Linked DNA regions of Neurospora crassa OR74A. The protein of the gene in region 2 purifies or fractionates together with the protein of the main gene of each other region. This does not show direct contact. Links are inferred from orthologs where the notes say so. Each region holds a gene or a part of one and is shown on either strand. Other genes may lie near its edges.

Region 1 (10,429 bases), on a different chromosome or scaffold from region 2:
GGGCGGTCCGACACCCAGCGAGCGGCTACGTACAGGGCATCAACGATCTGGTGACGCCCTTCTGGCAAGTCTTTCTAGGCACATACATCACAGACCCAGACATAGAGAGCGGCATGGACCCGGGCCAGCTGCCTAGGGCGGTGCTGGACGCCGTCGAGGCCGACACGTTCTGGTGCCTGACGAAGCTGCTGGACGGCATACAGGACCACTACATTGTTGCGCAACCGGGCATTCAGAGGCAGGTAGCGGCGCTGAGGGACCTGACACAGAGGATCGACGCCGGGCTGGCGAAGCACTTGGAGGAGGAGAACGTCGAGTTTATTCAATTCAGCTTCAGGTGGATGAATTGTCTGTTGATGAGGGAGATTAGTGTCAAGAACACGATCAGGATGTGGGATACTTACATGGTTCGTTTCTTTTTCCCTCCCCCTCCTCTCCTCTTTACCCCCTCCTTCTCTCCCTTCAGTGCTCCCCAGCTAGCTAGCTAACGCCCAAAACCCAAAAAAACACAGGCCGAAGAACAAGGCTTCTCAGAATTCCACCTCTACGTCTGCGCTGCCTTCCTCGTCAAATGGTCCGACAAGCTCGTCAAGATGGACTTCCAAGAGATCATGATGTTTCTGCAATCCTTGCCGACGCGCGAGTGGACAGAGAAGGACATTGAGCTCTTGCTCAGCGAGGCCTACATCTGGCAGAGCTTGTTCAAGGGGTCCTCGGCGCATCTGAAAGGACAGCCGAGTAGTAGGGCGAACTCGTTGAACTTTCAGCTTTGAGCCCGAGCCGAGCCCCTTGAGTTTTAGTTATCAGTGAAGGAGAAAGAAAGAAAGTTCTTCGATTCGAAGTAAGTGGGTGGGTGGGTGCATTGACCGCCACGCCAAAGACAAGACAACAGCTGTCCTGGGGACACGCTCTTTCAAGTCCGGCTAATTGAGCCGGTTCCTTATGTTGTGACCACCCCCATATAAAAAGTTGACGAAGAAAAAATCACAATAATTCACCGAAGAGGAGGATGATGCAAGCAGCATATGTGGCTGCATGAGATGGGATGAGATGGGATGGATGATACAAAGGTCAAAGAGGAAGCAAAACAGAGATACCAATTGGCTAGTAAAGAGAGAGAGAAAGAGGGAGAGAGAAACGTAAAGCAGGTACGAAAACAAGAGTACATAAGCTTCTAGAGTAAAGAATCACTTGTAGTAATATACATAATACCACGTTCTTGGAAAGAACAAAAATCGTCAGCTCATGATAGAGGGTTTTCAGTCTTCACAATGGTTGGGCAACTCGGTCAACAACCGTCATACACAACATTCACCCATCTTCGTGTCACGGAGAAAATTACTAAAACCAGCGGGAAACGAAGTTCAAATAAGCTATCTGAATAAGTAGGTAGGTACCCATGATACGTTTCCAGATTCCCAGTGTAAGTATATGTGAATAGCTATGACCGTTCACACCTACTCCTCTTGCGTTACCCTCTCTCTATCTGATAATTTCCAACGCTGTTTCTTTCTTTTTCTCTTGCCTTTCTTTTTTTTTGATTTTCTTGTTTTTCCTTTCTTGTCCATGTTGAGACTCCTCCCATCTCTCTTTTCTGTTTGAAAACTATCTCTACCCCATCTCTGGTCATAAAATAATGAGTGACTTTGGTTAGGAAGTCCAGAGGGACGAATATCAACTAACTATCAAACGCAGTGCTCACTGGATTTGTCCAGGCTTATCAACCGACAACTTCTCTTTTAAGGAGGGTATGGGATTGAGTGAGCCTGGACGAGTGAGCCTGGACGAGTGAGTCCCAGTGAAGCACGCTTGAAAACGAAGTGAAAAAAGACTAACTCAGGCTGGCTGGTGGTACGTGAAAGCTTAAGACTGGATGGAGTGAGCGTATCGGTGTAAACCAACCACTCTCTGCGTTGATTGACTTGCAGGCTTTGCCGTTTCATTCGGTCATCATTCTACCACGAAAGAAGATATCCAACTCTCCACCTGCCCGGAAGCAACAGATCGAGTGGTGACTTCTTCCTGGGTAGATCGCATTTGACCAGGCGCTTCCGCAACCATGCAAATTCGACCGCCAGCTAACCCAACGTTTTTCCCCCAATACCAAGTGTGGGTCGACCTCATCCGGCTCCGTACATCCGAACGATGACAAAACCCTCCTTGGATACCCGTCCGTTGCTTGAGTCCGTATGCACGTCTGATTTGATGTGCAACCTTAGACGAAGGTGTGTGAAGATGCCTTGTTCCCGTATGCTTGGGGTTCAGCTTGCACGAGACTATTGCGCAGAGGGTATGTAGGCTGATCATCCACACCTTGAAGAAGCCTATGTGAAGGATTGGCTTTCAGAGAGCAGCAACAACTCCTTGCAGCTTCAGTTGGGCGAATCCAAGCTGGAGAAGGGTAAGTTGTCTTCTGCCCGCCAGCCCGAAGGCTATCGGTAGCGTGTCAACAGAATAAGTCTGTCGTGCTCACCAAGTGACACATAATAGGTCCATATGCTATACCGCCGTTTAGGTTCAAGAGAACTATAAGCATTGTGTCGTGCGCTTCCACGAGAGGAAGAGGGAGACCAACAACGCCTAGGATCTAATGGCTCAATCGAAACCTGTCCCGATCTGACTGGCAAAAGCAGTGCTGACGCTCTTCTCGTCGTCATCGTAACGGCGGTATCCGTTGCCGACTCCCATACGACCATTGCTTTCGACATACTGCTTAAGGCGATCGCTCTGGCTGTAAGAAGTAGGGCGGGCTGATCCGATGGCCTCGCTAAGGCCAGCACCGAGACTCGCGCCGCCCTGTCCGATACCCTTGCCGCCGATGACACTGGAAGTGGCATCAGTGAACTCGCTGTTGGCGACGCTCTCGCCTGCGATGCTCTCTGTCGCACGACCACGGCCCTTGGCGCCTGGGCGTCCGTTGGGACCAGCACACGGCAAACCAGCCCACGCCTCAGGGTGGAAGTTCGAGAACATGGCAGGGTAACCAGAGCTCAAAGCAGCACCTCCCAGGGCGGAGCTGTGGATGGAGGAGACATCATCCGGGATGTACGAGACCATAGAACCAGTCTCATAATCCCTGACGGAGCCGGCAGTCAAGGGAGCAGCGAACCGGCCATTAGAGGGACCGCTGGCAACATGTTGAGTGTGGCTGCGTTGCGGCCGGTAGGCCTGGCGAGGTCTGCCAAACTGCAAGAGGGAAGGCTGGAGGTTTGTGAGGGGACCTTCGACGAGACACTTCTTGTCTTTGAAGTGGACGAGAAGGTGGTGCCAGAGCTCATGCTTGCAGAGAACCTTGGGGTTACCAATAATCACCAGACCGTACTTGGCACGGGTGAGGGCGACATTGAGACGACGGGGATCCGAAAGGAAACCGATGCCTTGGTTCTCGTTGGAGCGAACGCAGGACAGCACAATGAAATCCTTCTCTCGACCCTGGAAGGCATCAACGGAAGCGACTTCAACTTCCCTGTAGGATTCCTTCTTGAACGTGCCAGTGTTCTGCATGGTATTGACAATGTAGCTGCGCTGACCCTCGTACGGCGTAATGACACCGATGTCAGCAGGCTTGACACCAGCCTTGAAGAAGCGTGTGACAATCTTCTCGACATTGGCAGCCTCAGTCCGGTTGAGGTACGATGTGCCCGAGGCCGATATTTCCTCGTTGCCCAAGTTGGACCAGAACATCATGGGAGTCTCAGGGACCGGCCAGGGAAAATCAACATCCTTGCGAAGTCTCTCGGCGGCAGTGACGCCGTTTTGCAACGATCCTTCGTAAAACATATTGGAGGGGAACTCAGAGAGGCAAGGATGCATACGATACTGGACCTTCAAGCGAATGGGGGTAAACTGAAGCTTGACCAACCTCTCGAAGAGCGACTGGTTAAGGCCAGCCTTGGCGGCCTTCTTGTTCATAATGACAGGGCCAAGCTGCTTGTGGTCACCAACCAGGACAACCTGCTTACATCCAAGGACCAGTGGAATCATGCACTCGGGTTCGGCAGACTGTGTAGACTCGTCGATGAGCACATTGCGGAACTTCATCTTGGAAAGTCGCGGATCTCCGGCACCAACACAGGTGCAGCACACTACATCAGCGTTTTGCAGGATCTCACGCTCGGCCTGGCGCGTCAGCTGCTTGAACCTCTTTTCATCCTGAGAAGACAGCTCGCCGGTCTCGGTCTTGAGCTTGACGAGACCATCAAGTTCCTTGTTGGTAGTATTCATGCGAACTTGCTCGTGGAGAGCCAGGAAACTGACGGAGGACTCGACATCCTCACGGGACTTGGCGGTCAAGCGAACGACCTTCAGGCCGGTTCTGTGGATCCTCTCACAGAGCTGGTCCACAGCAACGTTGGATGGGGCGCAAACAAGAACTTGGCTGTTGCTCATCTTGGCAAGATGGTAGATGATGGTGGCCGAAGTGACGGTCTTGCCAGTTCCCGGAGGACCCTGGATAAGGCTCAGAGGGTTGGACAAGACCTGCTTGATGGCGGCAATTTGGCTGGCATTGAGCTCAGGGAGACCGGGAACGTGGAACTTCTTGGGCATCGTAATCTTTGTCGGGGCAACCTGGACTTCGTGTCCCAGCAGCTTGTGGAAGATGTAACCAGAAACACTCATCTCGTCGACGGCAAAGGTCTTCATGGCCAGCTGCATGCGGTCATAGGAAGTCGCTTTCCACACATAGTCGGCCGAGAAATTGTGTGTGCATTCCGTGGGGACAGACTTGTCATTGGCTGACTTGCGAAGTTCCACCTCAACCTCGTCGGACTGGTTGTTGGGAATCTTGATAACATATCCAACACCCTCCCAAGGCGGGCGCAGCTCTCCCTTGTACTTGAGACGCATCTCATCGCCAACGGCCAGCTTAACGTCACCGGACTCGATCTTGGGAAGGATGAAGCTGGCGACGTGTTTACTATTGAGACCCAGATGCCAGCGGACTTGAAGGCCATCCTCAGACTGGGCCTCCTTCAGCTTTTTGTCGTAGTCGGATTCCATCTTGACGAGAGGGCCGAAGATGTTCTGATAATGATAAGGGTCGTCGTACTTGAGCAAGACCGGGTGAGGATCATCATCGACTCCGGCAGTCTTTTCGAGGTCGGCAACAGTCGCGTTCGGTGCCTCCTTCCACATTTCCTCGAGCTTGGCAATCATGGGCGGCGTGAGATGGCGAGCACGAAGCTGCTCAGCATCCGTGGGAGGGGTGACGAGCCAGTTGAGGAAAGCCCTGTCTTCGATCAAGGGTTGCCACCTGGATATATCCCAGCTCATATCCTTGGTCGACGTACTAGCACCACACGGCTGGCGGCAGAGGAGGACCACAACCGTGTCTGACTTGGCAGGGATGAAACCGAGGATGAAGACATTCTTGGTGCCGCAGTTGTAACATTCGAGGACGGTATCGCCGAGGGAGGACTCGGGGTGAAGTTGAACTTCCTTGTGACGGGCGCGAACAAGGTGGTTGACGATATGGGACGAGAAGGCGCTTCCTTTGGCGCTGCAGAACCACTTGTTACAGGTAAGGCACTTGACGACGCTAGAGGGCGAGTGGATGCCACAGTAGGCACAGGCGTGGGGAGGCAGTTCCTTCTCCTCCACGGGGGCATCCAGCTTGAGGCTCTTCATGCCGTCGACTGGAACGCTGGCCAAACTCTCGTCATCATCGTCATCAAGGACCTCGGTCTCGTTGTCGTCGTCATCGTGGCGGCGTCTACCATTGCCGCGGGGACCACGTCCACCGTAGACACCGTAGAGGAGGTTCTCATCGGGATCGATATTGGACAGTTCGTCGGAGCCACCGGCCTTGATGGCAGCAGCAGAGTCGGAAACCAAGTGGTTTCCAAGGTGTGTGAAGGACACCTCCATGTTGGCCATGATGGCGAGTGGGTTGACGGAGGTAAACTCTGGAGCACCAGCAGCTGGTCAGTAAGTGTCTGGGAGGGAAATTCGCAACAGTAACGTAGGGTCAGGCAGGTATCGTTGGGGAACGAGATAAGTAAGGTACTGTTGGTATACGCCGCGGTCCAGCCTGTAGCTGTTGAGCGGGCTGTTGGGGAGGGATGTGTATTTCAGTGTTTACATGAACATGACACGCAAACAAGCGGCGTACCTTGAAGAGTTCACACCCGGAAGTTTTGTCGAAAGGTAAAAGGTGTGGCTGTCGTATTGCGGGTTGTCGCAATGCGGGACTATGGAAAGATGTAGATTATGGGCTTGGACGTCGTCTAAAAGGTCACATCATCGCATAACGGATTGGATCGGCGAGCGGGCTGTGTTGCGCGCGGGGGCTTTCGAAACGACGACACTGCCAGAACGTCGAGGTGCTGATGCAGAGTGAGACCACTGATCGGCTCGCTTAAGGTTGTTCTTGGTGTTGTGAAGCAAATGGTTTGGTTGCCGCCGTTCAAGGTCACGGTTGTTGTTTGCTTGGGGGAATTTTGCCGGTGGCCGACTTCCGTTCAGTTTGTGTTGGCGGACGGGTCACGGTTGCGGTTCAGGTTGGAGGTTCGTCGTTCCCTTGTTTGATATCCGACGGCCTTCTATCAGCAGCCTCCAGTTCTGGGCTCAGCTGTTTGAGAAGCACGGGCAGTCATAGCGCCTGAAACTGCCCTGTATTCTAGAAAGCGGGCAGCAAGTAGGTAGGTAGGTACTGGGAAACCGGCACAAGCTGCAGCGAAGGGAGCCAGGGTACCTAAGGTGGCGTTGAACCGGGCGACCCAGGCGCGATCTCTTTCCCGGCAGGCGCAAATCGACGGGACCTAAGCCAATAGGTATCCGCCAAGCTGAAAAGATCCGTGCACCTCGCGCTTAGTCCCATTCGATTGTAACTTTTTTCGACTTTTTTCTCTGTGAACACCCCTGTCGTCACCAACCACTCCGCCCTCCACTAGTATCGACCCGGAACATCTGAATTTCTGCCAGTCTTCGCAGCCTTAATTCTTATCGACAACCTCATTACTACCACTTTCGACAACACGACTCTGAGAGCTCGGCGCGATCCCTTCCACCGAATCACTTATTACCGTCTGATAAGCGTGTCAACACAACAAGATGATTGTAAGTGTCCCTGTCTACTCGTCATCTTCTCCAAGTTTCTCAATGTCCATGACTAACATCTGCAATAGAGAAAGCAAGCTCGCCAAAGGCGGGACTACCTTTACCGAAGAGCCCTCCTGCTCAAGGAGGCCGAGGTTGCAGAGAAGCGCGCCAAGCTGAGGTCTGCCCTGGCCTCGGGCAAGCCACTCGACCCCGAGATTGCGAAGGACAAGGAATTGCGAAAGGACTTCGACTACGATGTTTCGAGGGATGTGAACGGAGACGCCATCGATATCGACGACGAATACTCGGAGTTGTCGGGTGTCATTGACCCCAGAATCTTGGTTACGACAAGTCGCGATCCCTCCAGCAGACTCGGCCAGTTCAGCAAGGAAATCCGTCTCCTACTACCCACCAGTGTTCGGCTGAACCGTGGTAACCTCGTTTTGGAAGACCTTGTTGGCGCCGCCAAGGCGCAAAACTTGACGGATGTTGTTTTGCTACACGAGCACCGTGGTGTCCCTACCGCCATGACCATTTCCCATTTCGTACGTTGTCCCTCCAGGCATGTTGTTGTACTTGCAAAACGCATTTTCTAATCCTTGCTATAGCCCCATGGCCCGACGCTCATGGTCTCCCTCCACAACGTCGTTCTCCGCGCCGATATTCCCAAGTCGATAAAGGGCACAGTCAGCGAAAGCTACCCCAGGCTAATTTTCGAGGGCTTCAGCACCAAACTCGGTGAGCGAGTGGTCAAGATCCTCAAGCACCTCTTCCCTCCCCGCGAGCCGACACAGAAACCCAACGTCGGCAACAGAGTCATAACATTTGTCAACAACGACGATACGATTGAGGTCAGGCACCACGTCTATGTCCGCACCTCGTACGACTCGGTCGAGCTCAGTGAGGTTGGACCCCGGTTTACGATGAAGCCCTTCAAGATCACCATGGGCACCCTCGACAACAAGGATGCGGATACCGAATGGCACCTCAGCCAGTACACCAGGACCAGCAGGAAAAAGAACTACTTTTAAGCGGTGATTGGAACAAAAGGGCCGCTATAGTCGTGTTATTATCGGTTGGATTGGGTGGGATGTCACAGCAAGTGAGCATGGCTTCCGAGACAAGTTGCTGCTGGGCCACGAACGTCAAGCACTGGACCTGATGATTGCGCCGGACAAACCTGAAAAAAGGATAGCCAGGGGAAACGCAAAGACACGATCTGGTGGCGGAAAGCCCTTTTCACCAATTTGTCTGCTGCTCAGTAGCAGGAGGCAATGGGAAGACCGCTCAGATGCCTAGCCGAATTCTCGCTTATATTCTCCTCTACCGCCCGAGGTAGTACGTGGCTGGCCAAGATAGCGAGTACTGTGTTCCAGCTTCGGCACTCTAGTGGAACCAGAGATGATCGCATCAACGTCTGACTGGTGATGGGCGTGGTTGCTGGGTCGGCTGCTTGCCGAGTGGCTGTGAGGATCGGAAGGTTCCCGCGGTGAAACGAGCATGTCATGTCTATCAACGACATGTCACACTGGAGGTAACGCACGCAACGATGGGGCTGGAGGATGGGACAAAAAAGGGAGCAGCAGTCTCATGAGATACCAATGTTGGGATTTGGATGTAATTTTAAGAGCATTGGGTTCACATATCAGGAAACGGACCGGAGTTGAGGGTGTAAAGGTATATCATTTCTCAGCTGAGCGCGGAATAAACAAAACATGTGGTCGAACGGGTGCTTCCATTTGGGACTGAGTGCTGGCATGTAAAGAAAGAAAGGCTGTTTGAGCGGCTCAGCAGCAAGGCGGGGACTTGGCTGAAGTGTGCAACTCAATGAGATCAGATCAGAAACATAAAGCAATTGGTCGATGAACTCGAAATATGATCTGCCAAGCTTTCTACCAGTGGGAAGGAAAAGGACCCCTTTTCTCCTTGGGGCTCCATTCCAAACAAAAGGGGGCGCGTCGACGTGGAGACGGTGTTCCGTGGGGCCGCCTGCACGCTCTTTTGAAGGTTCCACACCGGCGATTGGTTCCTCACTTCCAACTCTGGGGACAGCGCAAGTGCCAATTGCCGGTTCACAATTGACGATATCGTCACAGGGCGGCAACAGAAAGATTTGTAGCTTGTCCATTCCTCTGCCATTGGAGAATTAGGCGATCAAAGTTTGCCATCCTCCCGTCCACGTGGTGAATGCGACGATAAGTCGGGGTTCTTGACAGCGGAGATTTTACCACGTTTAACACTCCGAGTTCATGCGGCTGTTAAAGCTGTACTTTGCGGTGCCCTCTTCCTTCCCATCTTTTGACAATAACAAACAACCTCTCAGCAGTCTGAAGTCGTCAGCTCTTGAAGCTTGTGCCTTGATGCTGCATTCCGTGCAGGATGCAGCTGACCTTGGGCACAGCAACAACTGGAGACGTGGGTCGGAAACCCGCTGTGACCGAGACTCTTTTCCCATTGTGGTTTTGAGTCGGAGTCTGGCTCAGCATTCATCATCAACAGAGAGACAGGGATATGGATCATCCATGGCCACGGTTCAAGACAGCTCCGTGGAATGATGTGAAGAAGCTTGGAATATAGTGCAAACTCATCTGCAAACACCTTTCAGCCTCTCTCTCAGCCACCGCCCTGTTCAGCCCTTCTCCTCTCTGGAGCTTCGGTACATATAATTCTAGGCCTTCCCTCGATCAACGCCGTTCAGGGTTTGTGTCCTGCAATGTGAAGGACGTCTCTGATTTCATCGCATTGCTTGAGGTGTACAATAGATTGGACGAATAATATATATCTTTTATCACTGGTACCATTCATATCCGAAGCCAACTTTTCTGAACATTTTCGCTCCGACACATAGAATCAAGAACACGGAACGAACCTTGTAAGAAACAAGAGCAAGAAAAACACGAGAAGAAGGATTTTGCGGGTCATTCGCTCCGTCCGGCCTCGGTACCTTGCTAACGAAAAGTGCCCTGAAACTAATCCGTCTTGGGACGACTAAGCCGTACTGCGTTAACAGCTCACGGCCGCACCGCCAAAATCCCAAAATCCCAAAAACTTGCCCGGCGTTAGAAGATCGCCAGCCCACAGCCCGCTTCCTTGGCCCCAAACCATTGGCCATTGGTCGCCCCTGGAACACTCCGTCGCTGCTGCACCCCCAAATTTAAACGAGAAGCGCTCCGTCGCTGCAGGTCACTGCCCTCTCCGTCTTTTTGCATTCAGTTCGTTCGGTGACTGGTCAGAGCAGAAGGAAGCAGCCTGTTCAAACGTCCGACGGTCTTTTTCGCTCGAGTTAGGTCAGCGGGCGGCATCATCCATCCATCAGTTCATGTGAGGCTGGCTGGGCTCTTGTTCTTACCTTCACTTCAGTTCCTTACAACACTCCTTCCTTCCGAGG
Region 2 (9,480 bases):
CACCGGTGTGATGTGAATGGAAGAAAATGTATATGTGAAGGAAGATATAAATCCGTTCACATCCACCACCCCATCACCGTTGTTTGAAAGACATTCAACAACAGCACTATCAACACCAAAGCAGCCGTATTATACTTGCTCAAGACACCTCCCACTACCCTATCCACAACCAAAGTTCCACCTTCCCATCCTATACCATCACACAATGACCATCACCACCTCAGAAGACCGCGTCCCCCGCGGTGACGTTGTCGCCCCCCTGAACTTCTACGAGCCCCCTTCGGACGGCTCAAGTCCCTTTAACAACATCGACCCGGCCCCCGGCGTTCCCGAGCGTAACTACTCTACCCAAACCCTCCCCGTCACCATCCACGACATCCGCGGCCTCGAGTCCTCCTTCACACTCGATAACGACGCCTTCCAAATTCTCCAGGGCCTCCCTCCCTCCGCCGAAGAAGACCCTGCAAAGAACGGCTCCAACTTCACCTCCGACGCCTCCATCTCCCAACTCTACTACCCCGAAGTCACCCGCCTCCTTCTGGACACCATCCCCGGTTCCAACAAAGTCATCATCTTCGACCACACCATCCGCCGCACCTCCCCCTCTGCGCCCCGTGGCCCAGTGCAGCGCGTACACATTGACCAAACCGCCTACTCCGTCGCGCAACGTGTGCGCCGACACGCTCCCTCTCCGGAGGAAGCCGAGCGGTTGTTGCAAGGGAGGTACCGCATCGTCAACGTATGGCGGCCGCTGAACAAAGGGCCCGTGGAAAGCTACCCGCTGGCGTTTGCCAGTTCACAGACGGTAGACGACAAAGATATAGTGCCCGTGGAGCATCGGTATAAGAATGGCTATACCGGTCAGACGGCCGCGGTGCTGCATGATGAAGGGCAAAAGTGGTACTTTTTGAGCGGCATGACGGGCGACGAAAGGATTCTGTTGGAGTGCTTTGATAGTTGGGCAGGCAGAGAGGACCTGGAGGAGGGGAGGAAGGTGAAAGGGGGAAGGGTGCCGCATACGGCTTTTGAGGATCCGAGACAGAGAGCGGATGCTGAGGGACGGGAGAGCATTGAGGTGAGGGCCCTGGTTTTTGGACCTTGACTTAGTGCATGTTCTCTTATGGTGGACACAGGAGGCGGGTTGGAGTATTCTCTAAGTGAATGAGAATAAGTAATGGTTTGATAGAGTTTAATGGCAGTTTTGAGGGATCGGATGCTGATAGGTGTTTGAACTCCTATGTCCGCGAACAATTTTTCTATATCGTGTTTGCGCCTTCATCGAGCTAGTAATAGTCACCAAAAAGTTAGTCAATGACTGTGAGTCTTGCTCAACGAAATCAGCTAATGAACTTCCGGCAACACCTCATGTGGTTGTCGATATTGATTTGGAATGGATAACATAAGCACAAAGCAAAGCGAAGCCTAGTAAACTCCCAAAATACGAGCGAGATGCCAAACAGTATGCGGTATAACCACGGTAATCAACGAACCAAATACGATGATACGTAATACCTATGGTAATGCTACAACTGCAGGCATGAAAGTGTTCAATGCTCAAGTAGCACCTGTAATAAAGTCCAGCCATGTTTCCTTAAACTCCGTAACCCCTTCAATGTATGCGCAACCCTCGATCCAGTATCTCAACAAACGCCTCTCTGTCCCTCTTTCCCTTCCTGTGCGCGATGGAGGCAAAACAGGCACCATCGTAAAGGAGCAAACATTCAGTGTAATATGTGAAGCACCTTGTGCCAGGCGGCGCTGGGCACTCTCTTTCGTCGTTGCAAACCGTTTACCACCGACCAATGCCCGAAGCTCTCGTCGTCAAAATCCGTTTCTTAATCATGTCTAGGCCGCCGTCCTGTTCAGCCACCGCGGCCGCCGCGTCCCTTTCTGCTGCTGGTCCGGCTCATCGCCACGCCGCCGTTGGCGCTAGACTGTCTGCTCATAGAGACACCCCCAAGCGCCTTAGCAGGAGACTGGTGATGAGACGGAGTACCCGAGCGGCCGCCCTTTGACGGGGTGCCGATACCGAGACCATTGATTGGCTCAGATCTTTCGGGCTCGACAGGCTCCTTGATCGGGGGAAGACCAAGGCGCTGCCTGAGTTCGTTCTCCGACGGCCGCTCGCCCTGGACAAATGACACAAATCTGCGGTCCTTGACCGGGAGCGACACCGATTGGAGAAGCTTCATGCTTCCATGCTCAGTCTGTAGATTGGCGCCCATGCCGTTAAGCTGGTCGTACTGCTTCAGGGCATGCATAACCATCAAGTCCCCGGTCACGTCGTCATTAGCCAGTGCTGCCGGTGTGTTAAACTCAGACTGCTTTGCATGGCCCTTGACGTATTGTGACGGGAAGGCAGGAGGCTGCTTAGGGTCCTGACTGCTAGTCAAACGCTCAAGGTTACCGGGGAAGTCGAAGTTAGCGAGCATCTCCAAGCCCATGAGTTTGTCGTCAAAGTTGGGATTGTTAGCCCCACTTTTGTTGCTGCGAGTAGCGTGCGAAACGTTCCTCTCCATCATCGGCGCCGACGGAGCCGACTCCGAGTCGAGATCATCAGGGTCGCCGCTACCGGAAACACTACCCTCGGGTGACGAGATAGGGCGCCCATAGTCGTCAAACCGTGGCTTATGGGTAAGAATGTATTTGTGCGCAGCCAAGGCCGACTGGTTGTAGGTCATTGACAATTCCTTGTCCGTGAACAGCTTGTCAATGCTGTAGATGGGGCCGGTGGTCTTGCGTTGGACCAGACGGTCGGTCTGCCATAGGGGTGTAGTGCTGTTGGGGTCGAGTGCACGGCGCTGTGGCGCTGGAGAACCGTCGTCATCATTCATGTTGCGCTTTCTTTTCTTGCTGTCCATGCCGTTCATCTCCTCCATTTCTCTCCGCAGGCGGGTGGCCCGCTTGCCGTGTGTGCCTCCGGGGCTGGCTGGGTTTGTGATGCTGAATTGGTTGGGGTGTAAGAGGAGTGCGGACGCATCGGCAATCTCGAGGGCCTCCTTCTCCTTGTTGAGCCGGTATTTTTTCGAAGTGATGATGTTGATCAGTCGGTCGCGGAGGGTCGAGGCAAGCGCCTTGTGTTCTCTGTTCGCAAGCTCCGTCTTATAGGCATGCGTATTGAGGTATTCGGCGATCTTCTTCTCGTAGTCAAACTGCGGAACCAAGAGTCAGCATTGGCACTTTGACTGGCGGAGCGTTGAACGGTTATGATCGGGAGACGTACTTTAAATTTGGTGAGAGCATAATCGCGTTGCTCTGCAAGATCCTGTACGTTCTCCATCCACTTGGCAAATTTGGGGCCAGCCATGTCAAGGAGGGATCGTGGACCACCGTCGGAGTCGGCGCCATTGAGCTGGTTGAGTCGTCTCTGATCCTCTTCGAAGCTGTCCAAAGGTCGATCGACATAGGGGTCGACTCGCATGACCAGACTGGTGTCAATCTGAATCTTTTGTAGTTGTTCGCGAAAGGCCTGGTCTCTGTCCTTGCTCCATTTGTCGGAAAGGGTTGCAATGCGTTCGGCAAGCATTTGGCGTCGCTTGTCTCTCTTAGACTGTGACTGTGACTGACCGGGAGGAGGAGAAGCGTTGGAGCGGCGATCAGGCCGCCCGGAAGGTGCGTCGGCCATGGTAACGTCGGTAGAAGCCATGGCGAAAGGGGGGTCCTCGTAAATATGTTTCTTGGTTGCCTGCTTTTTTATTGTATCCGGACCAGGTAAGACCAGGCGAGGCAAACCTCAAGGCGAGGCTGGTGGGCGGAAAAAAGAGAGCCCCAGTGCAGAGATTTGAGGCTAGAGGACGAGTAAGTCAAAGTCGACTGGACGACGGGAAGAGAGCTGCCCTCGTCCGCCGATGGACGGGCGCGCAGAATGGTTACAGCGCAAGGGCGAGAGAAAAGGAACGGCTTCTGGTGGTCGAAGCGGGTTTGGACATAGTCCTCATGGGATCTTTTGTGTATAATTGTCGACAGCGAGGGTACGTATGGTGCAGATGGAGAAATATGGAGTGGCAGAATGAAATGGGGTTGACAGCAGGTTGAGCCGAAGCAGAAGGACCGGAGAATGCAGTGCGGCACTACCTAGGTAGGTACAGGCAAACCAGCACAGGGAGGTCAGTGCAGGTCCCGTCGGCTCATTGTCCGGCCACCGGGTTGAATAATACTGTAGGTTGCTGCACAGCGCTTGGTTTCACCTTGCCCTGGCAGTGTTTACTGACTAGACATACAGTCCGGTGATCATGGAAGCTCCACCGCACAGGCGCTGTACCTAAGCGAGAGCAGTCTGCCGCAGGAAGCAGCGATAGGTTTGTATGAGCCGAGCTGATTGCTGAAGTGGATAAAGCTGAGATTCGCTCCGTCTTGTGGCTCAACCTGCGATGTGGCTGACTTGTATCATGTACATATACGCAAATTGCCTGCCGGAAGGAAGCTGGAATCATCCACTAAAAGCTTATGGCAGGAGCCGTGTAAGTAGAGTGGTAAAAAGATCTGTGCGACTCGGGCTGTCCTTCAAGGAACACACTTCTCGTCGCTGCCTCTCACCGTGAAAGTGGGGTGAACTGCACAAACAGCGGAGCAAGCCCAGGGCAGCCCAGGGCAGCAGCTATGTACTAAGGTAGGTATGTACGCAGTAGGTAGGTAGTAGTATGTGCGGGCAGGCAACGTCAGGGCGGGCAGCTGTCCCATCGCATCATTGCATCCCGCTTCCCATTCAACAACCTTGAAGACACCCCCCGAAACTTTACAGATGGACTAGAAGACATAGGCCATCTTCAGCACACAACCATGGAACACCTCTCGATAAACGATCAACCCCCACCGCCGCCCTTCCCTCAGGGCCCCGGCCAGCCTGGACCCGGCATGCCCCCGCCGGGACTCCTAGGAGGCGGCCGTCCTCCCCAGCCCCAGCAGTTGCCCGCGCAAATGTTCACCACAGCTGCCCAACTCCTCGACCTGACCGATAGTAAGAAGCAATATTGTGGACATATCTTTTGGACGGGAGGAACTAGGCTGACACGAGCGGCGGGGTACCAACAGAGAAGCTAATGGTAGCATTGCGCGACGGACGAAAGCTCACGGGCATCCTCCGCAGTTGGGATCAGTTTGGTATGCCTCCATGAACCTACCTCTCTCTTACAACACATGACCACCTATACACGCACGCACGAACGAGCACGAGTATGAAGAGGTAGCTGTGTTAACGCGAATCCACTTTTTTCCCACCATACTAGCCAACCTAGTACTACAACAGACAAAGGAGAGGATATTCGTGCCTCCAGGCACGCAGTCACCCACCCAGACCAGGGGGCTCTACGCCGACGTCGACCGGGGCCTCTTCGTTGTTCGCGGCGAGAACGTTCTCCTCATGGGCGAGATCGACCTTGACCGCGACGACGACCCGCCCCCGGGCTACGACCCTGCCGACCTCGAACTGGTGCAGACACTAGCCAAGCAGAAAAAGGCCGAGGAGAAGGCCAAGGAGAAGCGCAAGATCAAGAAGCTTTCCACCATTGGCTTCGAAGGGGAGAACGTAGGCGAGGCGCTTCTGTGAATGATATATGAATCACCCTCAAATTTTACAAATGGGACGGAAAGAAAGAGACGGGAGGAGAGACGACCAAAACTTTAACTTGTTATGATTTATACCTACATACCCCTGAAGTGGAAAGGGAGTGTCGAAGGAGGGAATGGCATGAGCGATTGGAAGCAGAATATTGTGAAATGCTATCCACTCAGCTGCGACTTCATACGAATGGAAGACCGCATGAAGCCTTACACCAAGGTCGGCCCAAGAAGACACCAAGTGTATTTTACCGTTAGAAAATTAGCAATTCGATGGATTGCCTCGAATCGAACCTGGCCACTACTGACTATGATCATGTTGGGAAAGGATAGCCCAGAGAGATATCCACGACTAACATTCTTTCCTAGGACTAGTCACATAGCCGGCACAAACCCATCGACTTCAACATCCTCCCACCCACCCGCCATCATCGATAACTACGCCGAGCTCGGGAAATGAGGCGTTGGCACTCATGACCAACCAACCGATTACCCAGCATCATCAAACTGAAAGATGATATGCAGCAAGTACTCAACCACCTGCTGCGGGGGTTGCGTTCCACATGCCAACAAAGGGGGGGTTGAACTTGTTTCGGTCGGAATAGGGAAATCCAATGTACCTCACGTTGATCCACTGAGGGTTCTGTATAAGCCGCTGGGAGATGTCGTTGTGGGCTGGGTTGGGCTGGCTGTAGGCCATCACTAGGTCTTTCGTAAGTCCACCACTATAAATCTGTGAAGTCGTCCATGAATGTATGGTTGGGCGTGGTGGGTAAACTGAAGTTGTACCAGCCCCATGTCGAGGGCGTGGCGTAGGGCTTGAAGGTCTGCAAACGCAAGAAAGAAGAAGGAGGGTAAGATGCCACAATTCCGGGTGCAAGCTCACTTGGGCTATCTCACGGTCATTGTCCTAGGCAAACCTTTATGATATACTTATCGGCGCAGTTTCAACTTGCTTGGGGCAAGTTACTTAATCTTGGCGGGCCCTTCTCCTCATCCTCATCTAATCGGGCACCACCCTAGGGCAAATCATGGATCGTCGACATGGTGAAGCCATTATTGGCCTGTCCACCCGATTGTCTGGGGGAAAGTGAGGGGAATAGCTGTCCGGGAGAAGGTAAAGTTGGACACATAAAAGACATTTAGCTATTTCTCATTGTCTCCGGTCGCCGTTGTCCCCAAGGTCGTTGATTGCGGGGTGCATTGGCGTCGTTGTGAACGAAGAAGCTCGGTGGGAGAACCTCGAGATGAATCTTCCACCATCCCGGTGCAACATGTGTTTTCAAACATGAACGATGGACCACCCAACGACAGCTGTACGGATAGTCCCGCACAAAGGAAGCCTCGGAGATGAACAGCCCCATGGGTAAGAGGAGTTGTTTGCCATGTGCGTGGCTGCTCTAGCGAGACCGGGAGTGCCGTCCACCCGCGATTCGAAACGTCCCATGCTCCACCGGATGGAGGCTGTGTGGAGATGTGTTTATGGAGAGAATCCATATCCAAACGGATCCTTTCAGCCGGTCCCATTGTCAAAAACCGCCGGCAACTGAACTCAAACAGGTATGGCAGTTTTCCGAAGCTCAAGGCATGCAACGGTCCTTGCGATGATCGATGGTAACAGTTCGCCGCGACTGTGGTTAGGGTCAGTATCTGCCCATTTTTTTTTATTCTTGGTGTATGTCTTTCGCACGTGTAAGGATGTTGCTATGGAAAGAAGCTTTGATACCTCGCTCGCTTTTGTCAATAAAAGTGAAATGTCACCTTATAAAGCAGTGAATGGAGCCGCGAATGGGAATGACCCCACTACCGACGAACCTTATGCGGGGACATGGCAGGCGCTAAGAGCTTCCCGGCTGCCCCTGCCCAGCCGCTGTGCCATCAAAGAGCCCGCTCATGATTCGCTGCGGCCAGCACGAACCTGGCTGTCGTTGTCTGGAGGTCTGGCGCATCCATCCGTCAAGGTAAACAATTAAAACATGCCCCGTTTCTTCCTCTCCCTTTAAATGTCCTCAACAAACACACTACCTCTGCTTCTACCCTTATACCAACACTCGGCCGGCTAAAATTTCAAGTTAGCGACATCTGGTCTTGATCTTCCGGCATCCGGTATCTGGCGCATTTGCTTGTATCGGTACGTGTCCGCCCTCCCACGGTCATGCGACAAGGACCATTCCTGTTGCCCAGCCCAATGTCACCCGCCAACAAATGACATACCAGCTGCGCCCGCCGCTAACTTGTGCAACCACTTGTCGCAGCTCACCAAACATCCTTCTGAACATATCCAACATTTCTTGGTTGTCGCCATGAGCTCCTTTCTTACGACCGTGTACGTTGAGCCCTCCCCCTTTTCCCGCCCTTGACAGGCCCATCGCGAATAGTTGGCGATGCGATGACGTAATTTGGCAACGAAGCGAGGACAAGCTCGCTCGCCGTCGCATCCATCTCCTTTCCAGGAGGTGCAACACACCGCATAACTGGAAGGTCTTTCGACCTCCTCAGTAAAGCCATGAATTCTATCTTGTGTGGGATAGCTGTTAACATGATTTGCCGCTAGAAATCAGCGGACGCGCAACCAGTTCCGACCTCGGGCGAGCGGCAAGGGCGGTGCGACCAGCTACCAGCTGCGACAATATGCCGAAGCAACACTTGGCGGAGGAAGTTTGCGCAAAGTGGTGAAGCTGCCTGAGGGTGAAGACGAGAATGAGTGGTTGGCTGTCAACAGTGAGCATCAACCCCGCCGACCCAGCTTGTTTTGCTCCAGGGCCATCCGCTGACCCGCTATGCTAGTGGTGGACTTCTACAATCAAATCAACCTCCTTTATGGCGCCATTACCGAGTTCTGCTCTCCCCAGACTTGCCCCGAAATGAAGGCGACCGACGAGTACGTTTCCATCACAACATCATACACCGCGACCAACACACTGACAGAGTTTAGGTTCGAGTACTTGTGGCAGGACACGGAGAACTACAAGCGACCGACCAAGATGCCTGCGCCCGCTTACATTGAACAGCTCATGAGCTGGGTCCAGGGCAACATCGACAACGAGGCCGTCCTACCAAGCAGGATTGGAGTTCCGTTCCCCAAGTCCTTCCCGGCGCTGGTCCGCCAGATCTTCAAGCGCATGTACCGCGTTTACGCTCACATTTACTGCCACCACTACCCCGTCATTCGGGAACTGGGCCTGGAGCCGCATCTCAACACCAGCTTCAAGCAATATGTGCTATTTATCGATGAGCACAACCTGGCAACCGGCAAGGATTTTTGGGGACCGCTAGGCGACTTGGTCGACAGCATGTTACGCAGCGACTAGACGACAGAATCTTGTATGGCTTTGGCATTGGCGCATGGTTATTTGACAGGGCTAAGCACGTAGGCGTTAGGTTGGGTGCGGGTTGGTTCCATTACAGGCATTCGTTTTCGTTTGGTATGGTGGGCTGGCAACGGGCGCTGATAGAAGGGATTAAGGGACCACGGAATTCAGGAAGGGACGCGCATCCCATGCTTTTGATGGCGCGTAAAGGGCACCGGGATCTCTTTGGGTTTTTGTTGTTTCGTTGTAGAGAGGGACAGAGAGGCCTGGAGCTTCTCGTGGAAATAGACGCTTTTTGACATCACGAATGCTGCCGCAGCTTTCACTTCTCACGGAACTTCATGTCAATGTCGAGGATGCATGCAGTGCCGATGCTCGGACGGGATGGCAGGGCACCGATAACGTTATCGGGATGTTGCTTGCCTGCCCCACTGCACTTGGCACGAACGGGCAGTTCCGGAGAAGAAGCTCTGGGCAGTTGGCGGGCTAAAGAGTCTTGGCAGAGGCACCATTACGGCGCAGCTCCAGGATTTGCAGCCTGAGGCAGACACGGTTTTGCCGAGCGGCTCCAAACCCACCCGTTACCTTGACAAAACTGAACCGGAGCTTGAAT

Evidence for each region. The genes of interacting proteins can lie anywhere in the genome.
Region 1: the proteins of NCU01601 (region 2) and prd-6 purify together in Saccharomyces cerevisiae (affinity purification with mass spectrometry; 3 studies listed by BioGRID, with this or other methods). This does not show direct contact. The link is inferred for Neurospora crassa OR74A from reciprocal best matches to the Saccharomyces cerevisiae genes LSM1 and NAM7.

Annotation. Positions count from the first base shown.
Region 1 is NC_026505.1:5,326,189-5,336,617, forward strand, and holds prd-6 (ATP-dependent helicase NAM7), read right to left. Parts: upstream 6,633-10,429; 5' UTR 6,113-6,632; intron 5,907-6,112; 5' UTR 5,878-5,906; coding exon 2,596-5,877; 3' UTR 1,349-2,595; downstream 1-1,348. Other genes in the region: NCU04241 (TBC1 domain family member 22A), read left to right, coding at 1-407, 513-773; NCU04243 (U3 small nucleolar ribonucleoprotein IMP4), read left to right, coding at 7,054-7,059, 7,128-7,586, 7,650-8,072. UniProt on the Saccharomyces cerevisiae protein: RNA-dependent helicase required for nonsense-mediated decay (NMD) of aberrant mRNAs containing premature stop codons and modulates the expression level of normal mRNAs. Also capable of unwinding double-stranded DNA and translocating on single-stranded DNA.
Region 2 is NC_026502.1:2,977,853-2,987,332, reverse strand, and holds NCU01601 (hypothetical protein), read left to right. Parts: upstream 1-4,515; 5' UTR 4,516-4,779; coding exon 4,780-4,957; intron 4,958-5,031; coding exon 5,032-5,100; intron 5,101-5,225; coding exon 5,226-5,545; 3' UTR 5,546-5,849; downstream 5,850-9,480. Other genes in the region: NCU01598 (methyltransferase), read left to right, coding at 17-1,102; NCU01599 (hypothetical protein), read right to left, coding at 1,863-3,152, 3,224-3,646; mob-1 (protein kinase regulator), read left to right, coding at 7,860-7,882, 8,111-8,277, 8,344-8,437, 8,667-8,832. UniProt on the Saccharomyces cerevisiae protein: Component of the cytoplasmic LSM1-LSM7 complex which is involved in mRNA degradation by activating the decapping step.